Oryctolagus cuniculus: one gene and its partner. The protein of the gene in region 2 interacts with the protein of the main gene of each other region in a biochemical or structural test. Links are inferred from orthologs where the notes say so. Each region holds a gene or a part of one and is shown on either strand. Other genes may lie near its edges. The genes, in order: FIS1 and DNM1L.

Region 1 (4,439 bases), on a different chromosome or scaffold from region 2:
CCTGGGGGCACCGGGCAGACCACAGGCCCCCTCACCCTCTGCACCAGGTGGCTCCCGCCCGCCCCCCCAACTCACGACACGAAGGCTCCCGGCCGCGGCCCAATTTTATTCACACTCGTCCCAGAGCACAAGATCTGGGGCTAAGGACAGGTCCCCGGGCAGCGGAGGGTGAAGGCCATGGGGAGGAGTGACAGGTGTGGGGGAGAAGAGGCAGGGGACGGCGGGGCTAGGGCCCTCTCTGCGGGTCCTCGCGGCTCCGGGACGCCTGGGCAGAGCGGGCAGTGCAGTCTCGGTCAGGATTTGGACTTGGACACAGCCAGTCCGATGAGTCCGGCCAGCCCCGCCACGCCCAAGGCCATTCCTCCGACGATGGCCATGCCCACCAGGCCGTCTGGGGGAGGAAAGGGCGCCGTCAGGGCCTCCGCCCGCCGCCCCCCTCGCCGGGAGCGGGCACGGGCGGGCGAGCCGGCTTTCACCTTTCTTCATGGCCTTGTCGATGAGCCGCTCCAGCTCCTTGGCCTGGTTGTTCTGGGGCTCCGTGTGCAGCAGCCCCCGCACGTACTTCAGGGCCCTGTCGTACTCCTGCACGCGGGAAGGTCGGGGGGCGTGCCCGCCTCAGCCCCGCGCCCTCCCCCTGCGGCCCCACCCGCAGCCGCAGCCGGCGGACTAGAGTCCACAAACAGCCTCGCCTGCTGGGGGCGATAAGCGGAGATAACCAGGCCGCCCAGGCCTGACCCCGCGTAACCCCGCCCCGCCTACCTTGAGCCGGTAGTTGCCCACCGCCAGGTAGAACACGTAGTCCCGCTGCTCGTCCTGGGTGCCTTTGAGCAGCAGCTCTGCGGAGGGGAGGGGGCGCTGCTGCTCTGGGCTGGCCCCGGCCCCCGCCCCCGCCCCCGCCGCAGCCACAGCGGGAGCCCGCGACAGCCGCCCCGTGTCAATGCACGTGACCCGACAGGACACGGGAGGGGCCAAACGGTTATGGCCCCATCGCTGTTGCAAAACACGCTGTTCCCCCCCCATTCAGAACACCTGCTCCAAACTCACTACTTCCGGGGCGGGGTGGGGGTGGGGGTTGCGCTAGGTTGGTTGCTCAGCAGGTGTCCTGGGTCTGCACTGTGCCCTCAGCCAGTTCTAGGGCTGCGCCCCGCTGAGGCTAACCCCGTGCAGGAGAAGAAGCGTCCGCACCAAGAGGGGCGCTTGGCGAGGGGCACCGGCAGCCTTGGCCAGGACGCCCACCGCTGCCTCGTACACGGTCAGGGACCCAGAGAAAGGGGGCGCGGGGCGACGGGCCGCCCAGCTCTGCGGCCTCTGCCGCGGGCCCACCTACACCAAGGGGCAGGGGGCTGAGGAAGCAGCTCGGAGAGGGGCCTGGGCACCAGCTGGGGCGCAGCGGTGATGCGGGAGAGGACCTGGCCCGAGCACGCGCCCTGGTGGGGGGAGGCACACTCCAGGACCCTCACGGACACCAGTCTCTGTGGATGCTCAGGCCCCTTAGATTCTCGCGTGTAACCAACACGCACGGCCCCGCGCTCGGAGTCCCCCCGCTGTGTAGACAGGCCACAGCCACGTGTAGGGAGCCGTGCCACGGGGGGGGTCTACACGCTCAGTAGGCCTGCGCAAGCATAACCGCAGCGCCCCGGGCACTGCTGGGTCCACGCGGAGGGACCCCAGGGCCAGTGACGGCGGGGGCGGGGGCGGGGCGCGCTCACCCTCCAGCAGGGTGATGCCTTTGCGGATGTCATCGTTGTACTTGCTCCGCACCAGGCACCACGCGTACTCAAACTGTGTGCTCTTGGACACCGAGCCTGCCGCCTTCTCGGACTGAAACTTCTTCTCAAATTTCTGCCACGGGACACGCGAGGGGACCATTGGGGAGGTGAGGAGTGTCAGTCACGTCGCATCCGGAGCTGAGGTCCCATCCCCGGCTCTGCTTCTCTAGGCCTCCACCCCTCCCCGCCGCCCTCGGGCCTTGGTACCCGGCACGCCCGGCGCCCCCCTCGCCCCTACCCGGCCTCTCGGACCCGGGATGCAGGCGAGCTCCCCGGACCCACCCCGGGGCTCCTCCGCCCGGCCTCTCGGACCCGGGATGCAGGCGAGCTCTCGGACCCACCCCGGGGCTCACACCCCCCTGCGGCGCCAAGCGGAGATGCCACCTGCCGGCGGCTCCAGGCACCGCTCCCGGAGCAGCTGACCGCGGCGGCAGTGCAGTAAACAAGCCGTCAGCAGCCCCCGCGTCTTCGGCGTCGGCGGCTGGCCCGCCTGCTCCGCCCTGCCGGCTCTGCACCTTATCTCGTCTAACTTCCGGGGCCACAAAGGCCAAGGCCTGGCGTGCAGCGCATCGTGCTGGACCCAGTGACGTGTGACGCGCTATGGCTGTCGCCGTGCTCCCCCACAACCGACGGGACGCCCTGACCTCCCAAATTACGCGGCAACCCGCACCTGACAGCCTTTTTGGGGTTAGACGCCAAGTCTTCGTTCGGAGGTGTGGTGGCCGAAGAGACTACAATTCCCACTAGCCTCTGCGGCAAAGAGCTCCCTTGAGGTAGGAGCCGGACGGCGCAAGGCCTGCCGGGAGCTGTAGTTCGGCTTCCCCTAGCAAAGTTGAAGCTGGGAGGAGGGTTTGGCCCCTACACGACTCTCCTCAGGACCCGTCCCCGACTCGCCCCGCGCCCTCCCTCGGGGCCAGGCCTCACCTTCAGATCCTCCACAGACACCAGCTCGTTCAGCACGGCCTCCATGGCCGCCGCCCCCGCTCTCCTCACAGTGGACTCTACTGTGCTACAGTCTCCATGGCCCAGCGGCAGGGGCGGAGCAGCACTTCCGGCGCTCGGCGGATGCGGCCCCCGGGCCGGACCCGCGACGCCCCGCCCCTCCTTCGCCAGGCAGCCTGCCGGAAGGGGGCGCTCGCGCGGACCCCGCACCCCGCACCCCGCACCCCGCAGAGCCCGGGCCGGGCTTTCGCCTGTGCCCTCTCCCGCGGACGTCGCCCCCGGGCCAAAACTAGAAAGGGAAGGGTGGGAGACCAGGCAGGGGTCTGTCGGCCACCAGGGACGGCCGAGGCTGCGTGGCTTCCCTGCCTGCCACAGCCGCAGCCAGGACCAGGGTCCCAGGGCCGGACAGCTGCACCTGTGAGCTGTGCCCCCGAGGGACGCTGTTAGCGGGGGGCCTCCTTCCCGGCAAGAGGGTGCGACTTCCAAGTGGTACTTGGACCAACCGTTTCCTGGGCGTCCCCGAGTGGCCACCTGGGGCCGTGGGAGGCTGAGCTCCCGTGCGCGCTGGAGTGGAAGTTCCAGGAGGGCGGACGCTGCCTCGTTCGTCCAGCGCCCAGCGCCCAGCGCCCAGCAAGGTAAATATTTGTGCACACGCACGGCATCAGGCAGATGCAGCTGATACCAGGGGGACGCCCTTCCGGTCTGCAAGCCCGCTGCTCTGTAGCTCTAACGGTCTTGTGAGTCACCCCTCCCTGTTTGGCCTTGATAGTTCAGTAGGGAACCGTGAAACTCAGGGAGAGAAATGCGTGCCGTTCAGACGTAGCGGCTGGGCCCTGCGCACAGAGCTCCCTCCAAGGGAACCCCGGTGGGCAGGGATGGCTTCAGGATGGGGTCTGTTTGACCTGAGACTGGGGTCGTGGCAGCCCCCGACTGACAGCCCGGCAGTCAGCATACAGGGGGCACATACTGGGCCCCGGGACAGGCACGCGGGCTGGGGGCAGGCTTGCAGGCCCAGCGCTGTCCGTGGTGGGAGCCGATGCCAACTCCAACGGACAGGGTCGGAGCTGCCCTTGGTGTCGGCAGAGAACCGCGTGGTGTGGCCGTGACCCACACCCCTGGCGTCAGCCGTGTTGTGCATGTGGGGAAATCAGACGGGACGGGGCTGTCGTTGGGGTGACGCCGGGGCCCAGTTCTGACCCTGCGGCAACGAGCCATGCAGGCCAGGGGCGCCAGCACGTGCAGGAGCCTCGAGGAGGGGGCACCAGGCGGACGCGGGGCTCAGCCTGAGTGACGGAGAGCGAGGCGGCAGGATGGCCGCGGGCCGATCGCGCAGGGCCTCCCAGGCTAGCCAGGGCTGGATCTGACTTTCTGTGCGATGGGAGAGCAGCGATTCCTTGTAAAAGGATCGCACTGGCCGCTTTTGGAGAGAAGACCACGGGGGCAGCACGAAAGCTGGGCGCCAGCAAAAGGCTGCTACTGTGGCCCAGGCACGGACTGGCAGCGGGGCTGGGGGTGCGAGAGCCGAGACCTCAGCCCCAGCCCTCAGCCCCAAGGCTCCCCCGGGAAGGCCTGCTGGGCACTCCTGACCAGCTCAGCACCCCGTTCTCTGGCTTGGGTGTGGCAAGAACCCCCCCCTCCACCCGCCATTCCGCTCTTGTTCCACAAACATGTGGCCAAAACCCTCACCTGGGAAGCTGCTATCCTTAGCTCCCTCTGCCCCATGAGAAA
Region 2 (3,805 bases):
ATGTCAGCATTGAAGGCTGGAGTTGAGCTAGTTGGTAAAGCTGCCACCGGCAATGCCAGCATCCCACATGGGTGCCAGTTCTGAGTCTCGGCCGCTCCATTTCCATTCCAGCTCCCTGCTATCATGCCTGGGAAAACAGTGGAAGATGGACCAAGTATTTGGGCCCCTAAAACCCCTGTGGGAGACCCAGGTGAAGCTTCTGGCTTCTGGCTTTGGATAAGTCCAATTCCAATTGTTGCAGCCATTTGGGGAGTAAACCAAATGGAAGATAAATCTCTCCTGCAAATAAATAAATATTTTTTAAAAAAAGCCATTCATAAACCTAAATCATTATATTTATACCTCTTAGGAAACTTTTTGTTTTAAAGGTATTTTATTATTTAAAGTCATTAGGGGTAGGAATCTGATCTAACAGTTAAGATGCAGCTGGGACACTTGCCGTATCTCTGCCTGGCTACCAGTCCCAGCTCTACTCCAGCTTCCTGCTAATTCACACCTGGGGATAGCTGAATTCTTACCACCCATGTGGAAGACCTGGACTGAGTTCCCAGCTCGCTGCTTCAGCCTGGCTGAGTCTCACCCAGTGCAGGCATGTGAGGAGTGAACCAGTGGATGGGACGCTCTCTCTCTGTCCACTTCTCAAATAAAAGGTAACCATTAAAGATACAGACATTATGTGAATTATTTTTGCCTAGCCTGTACAGCAACTTGACAAACTTATTTTTCATCAGAATTTCTATTTGAAATTATAAGCAAAGTAGGAAAGCATTCCTTTTTTAAACTCTGTATTAATAACTGGAAATATTCCTTTTAAAAATAGAAATTCCTTTCTTGAGATTTATCATTGTCAATCAAGCATCTAATTAAATATTAACACCTATCCTTACCGTCTGGATCTACCTCTCTTGAAATTTTCAGGGCCTCTGATGTCGCCATATCTGTATTAGCAGCAGTGACAGCGAGAATAATGGAATTGGGATTGCTGATGAAACGAAGAATGAGCTCTCGGATCTGAAGCTCAATATCCTTAGGTTGATCACCTACAGGCACCTAAACCAAACAGAGATGAGCAAGGAACTAATAATAAAATCAACTCAGCAACCCCCCCCCGTCATTAATTTACAAATTACAGGTTATTTCTCTATTTGCAAACTGTTAACATAATGAAATTAATGATACTACAGGGGTATGCATGAATTTGGTTAATGTGTGAAACAGCAAAATTTAACTATTGCAAGTATCCAAAGTTGACCAACATGATCCCATGTGAAGGACTAGTCAGTGCTAACTGCCTGAGAGACAACTCCATTCAGTTATCCCAGGTCTACTGATGGCCTACCATGCTTCGGGTCCTTTTCTACATGTCAGAGTATAATACAGCAGTGAATCTAAAACAGACCAACCGTTCTGCCTTCATAAACCTGTGTTGTAGTGATTACAAATACTCATAGTATCCAGGTGGTAGAATGGGCTATAATAAATACAACGGTAGACTCTGCAGGGATGATCTGAAACTGGGTTGTTACCTTTGAGAGAATGACAGAAAGTGAAGATGGAAAGGGAAGGGCACACGCAGGTGTCTGGGAAGGAAGTCCCAGGCGGGGTGACAGCAGGCAGGAGCATGGAGCAAGAGTCAGAAGAAGAGCATGGAGACACCAAATAGACACTTAGATTTCTGTAAGAACTCGGGCTCCTACTCTGAGTGGAATGGGAGGCTACTGGGGCGAATTTTTAGCGAGGATGGACACAGTCTAATGTTTAATACCATCACTCTGGCTGCTTAGTTAAGAACAGGCAGATAATGAGAAAGAGCTGTTATTTATTTGCTTGTTGTACCAACCAAACCAGGTGAATTGACACTGGTCTAATGAGACACAGTAGCATTCTGGGTGTCCTGTACAGGTGAGGACAGCAAAGAGGGCATGCTGACAGGAAGTGTAATGCAGAATAAAAAGCATAAGGATGACTACAAATTTTGGCTAAGCAATTGGTAGAAGGGAGTTGTCATTTATTGAGAGGGGAGAAGATTAAAAAAGGGTCAAATCTAGGAATTTGGTATCCAACTTGTCAGATCTATAACGCTTACAAGACACTTAAGTGTACAAGGGTACTTCAAAAAGTTCATGAACATGAAATTTAAAATGTTACTTTGGTGTGTAAGTTTTTCAAATCAATGTGCAGTTTTTCTTAATACACATTTTCTACAAACTTTTTGAAGCTTTTTATCTGTCAAGCAGACAGATATACAAATATCTGGAGATACTTGAATGCCATCAACATACAGAACCTTAAGTATTTTAAAGCCACAAGATCTGAAGAAATCATGTAGGGGACGGAGTCCAAAAACTGAGCTATGGGGCACTCACTGTTCAGACAATGGGGAGATGAGAAGAAATCAACAAAAGAGACTGAAAGAAGTGGCCAGTGAGCTTGGAGATAAACCGGAAGAGTATGGTATCCTGGAAGCCAAGTAGAGAGAGTGTTTCAAGGAAGGCTCAGCTCTATCAAATGCTTCTAACAGGTAAGTGTGACTGCAAAAAGAAGCTGGTTATTCTCACCCGGGGTTAGGGAAAAACCACAATGTTTCAAGCAAAAATTAACATAACCAAAATCACAATGAGTAACAATGACTCCTTACCTTGGTCATTCCGGGCAAATCCACAAGTGTCAAATTGACAACGTTGGGTGAAAAGATCTTAAGATGAATTGGTTCAGGGCTTACTCCCTAAAAGTAAAATATATATTAAAATTATATTAACAATTCAATGAAGAATGCAATACTGTAGTAAATCTCATTTCAAGCAAACATTACATCTTTTTAAAAATGTATTACATTACAATCTATAAAACGTTTTAAAAATCTAAACCTGTTGAAATACATGGGACATAAATCAGCTGGGTTATAATACTACTGAACCCCATACCAATAATAAGAACAATTTATTTCCCCTGTATTAGTTTGGTTTCTTTTCTCTTGATTCTAAGCATGTATCATTTCTTAAATATGTTTAATACAGTGCTGAACAAAACAACATATTTCTCACTATCCAAATTTAAGAGGTCCCAGAGGTTCAGACAAGGAAACACAGGTAAATTATTCAATTAAATTTGATGGGGTAGATGGGCGGGCGGGCGGACATTTGGAAAGATGGTTAAATCAAATTGCTTGGGACATCTGTATCCCATATCTAAGTACCTAGTTCAAGCATCCAGCTCCCTGCTAATGTGCACCCTGGGAGGCAGCAGGTGATGGATCCCTGCCACCCATGTGGGAGAACCAGACTGAATTTCGGGCTCCTACTAGCTGTTGCAGGCATTTGAGGAGTGAACCAATACATCAAAGATCTACATCTGTTTCTCTGTCTTGTAAATAAAATGAAAATACACAATTTTTGAAAGGGTTATTGCATAGTGAGGTTGTTTCTTGTGCTACAAAAAGGGGGAAGGGATCAATTCGGTTCTTGATCTTTGAATATCAAGTGGCAACACTAGTGTGATAAGAGATTTCTAAGGAAATACATCTGGGCTGGTGCTTCCGTGTCTATCCACAGTGCTCCAAGTCCTCGTGCAGAGCCCCTGGAGTACACGTTTCGGGCCACTCATGTGCCCAGTCCGTCCAAGGTGGTTGCATTCTCTCCATTACTGAACTGAGAGGGGGACTGTGCTGCTTGGATGAAGCTTGTGGGATTTTTGGTGAAACTGAGTGATGAAAGTGTAACCACTGCACTGAAGAATGGGACACAGGTCCATGGAACAACCATGGGTGCAGATGCCAGCATGAACACATACCTTGAAGCTGTGAAAA

Evidence for each region.
Region 1: the proteins of DNM1L (region 2) and FIS1 form a complex in vitro, tested with the Homo sapiens proteins (2 studies listed by BioGRID). The link is inferred for Oryctolagus cuniculus from reciprocal best matches to the Homo sapiens genes DNM1L and FIS1.

The regions. Positions count from the first base shown.
Region 1 is NC_091450.1:43,420,783-43,425,221, forward strand, and holds FIS1 (mitochondrial fission 1 protein), read right to left. Parts: upstream 2,878-4,439; 5' UTR 2,739-2,877; coding exon 2,694-2,738; intron 1,843-2,693; coding exon 1,710-1,842; intron 837-1,709; coding exon 760-836; intron 583-759; coding exon 477-582; intron 392-476; coding exon 294-391; 3' UTR 87-293; downstream 1-86. UniProt on the Homo sapiens protein: Involved in the fragmentation of the mitochondrial network and its perinuclear clustering. Plays a minor role in the recruitment and association of the fission mediator dynamin-related protein 1 (DNM1L) to the mitochondrial surface and mitochondrial fission.
Region 2 is NC_091440.1:128,780,473-128,784,277, reverse strand, and holds part of DNM1L (dynamin-1-like protein), read right to left. Parts: exon of another isoform or gene 3,552-3,805; intron 3,090-3,551; exon of another isoform or gene 3,018-3,089; intron 2,726-3,017; coding exon 2,639-2,725; intron 2,522-2,638; exon of another isoform or gene 2,206-2,521; intron 1,051-2,205; coding exon 888-1,050; intron 1-887. UniProt on the Homo sapiens protein: Functions in mitochondrial and peroxisomal division.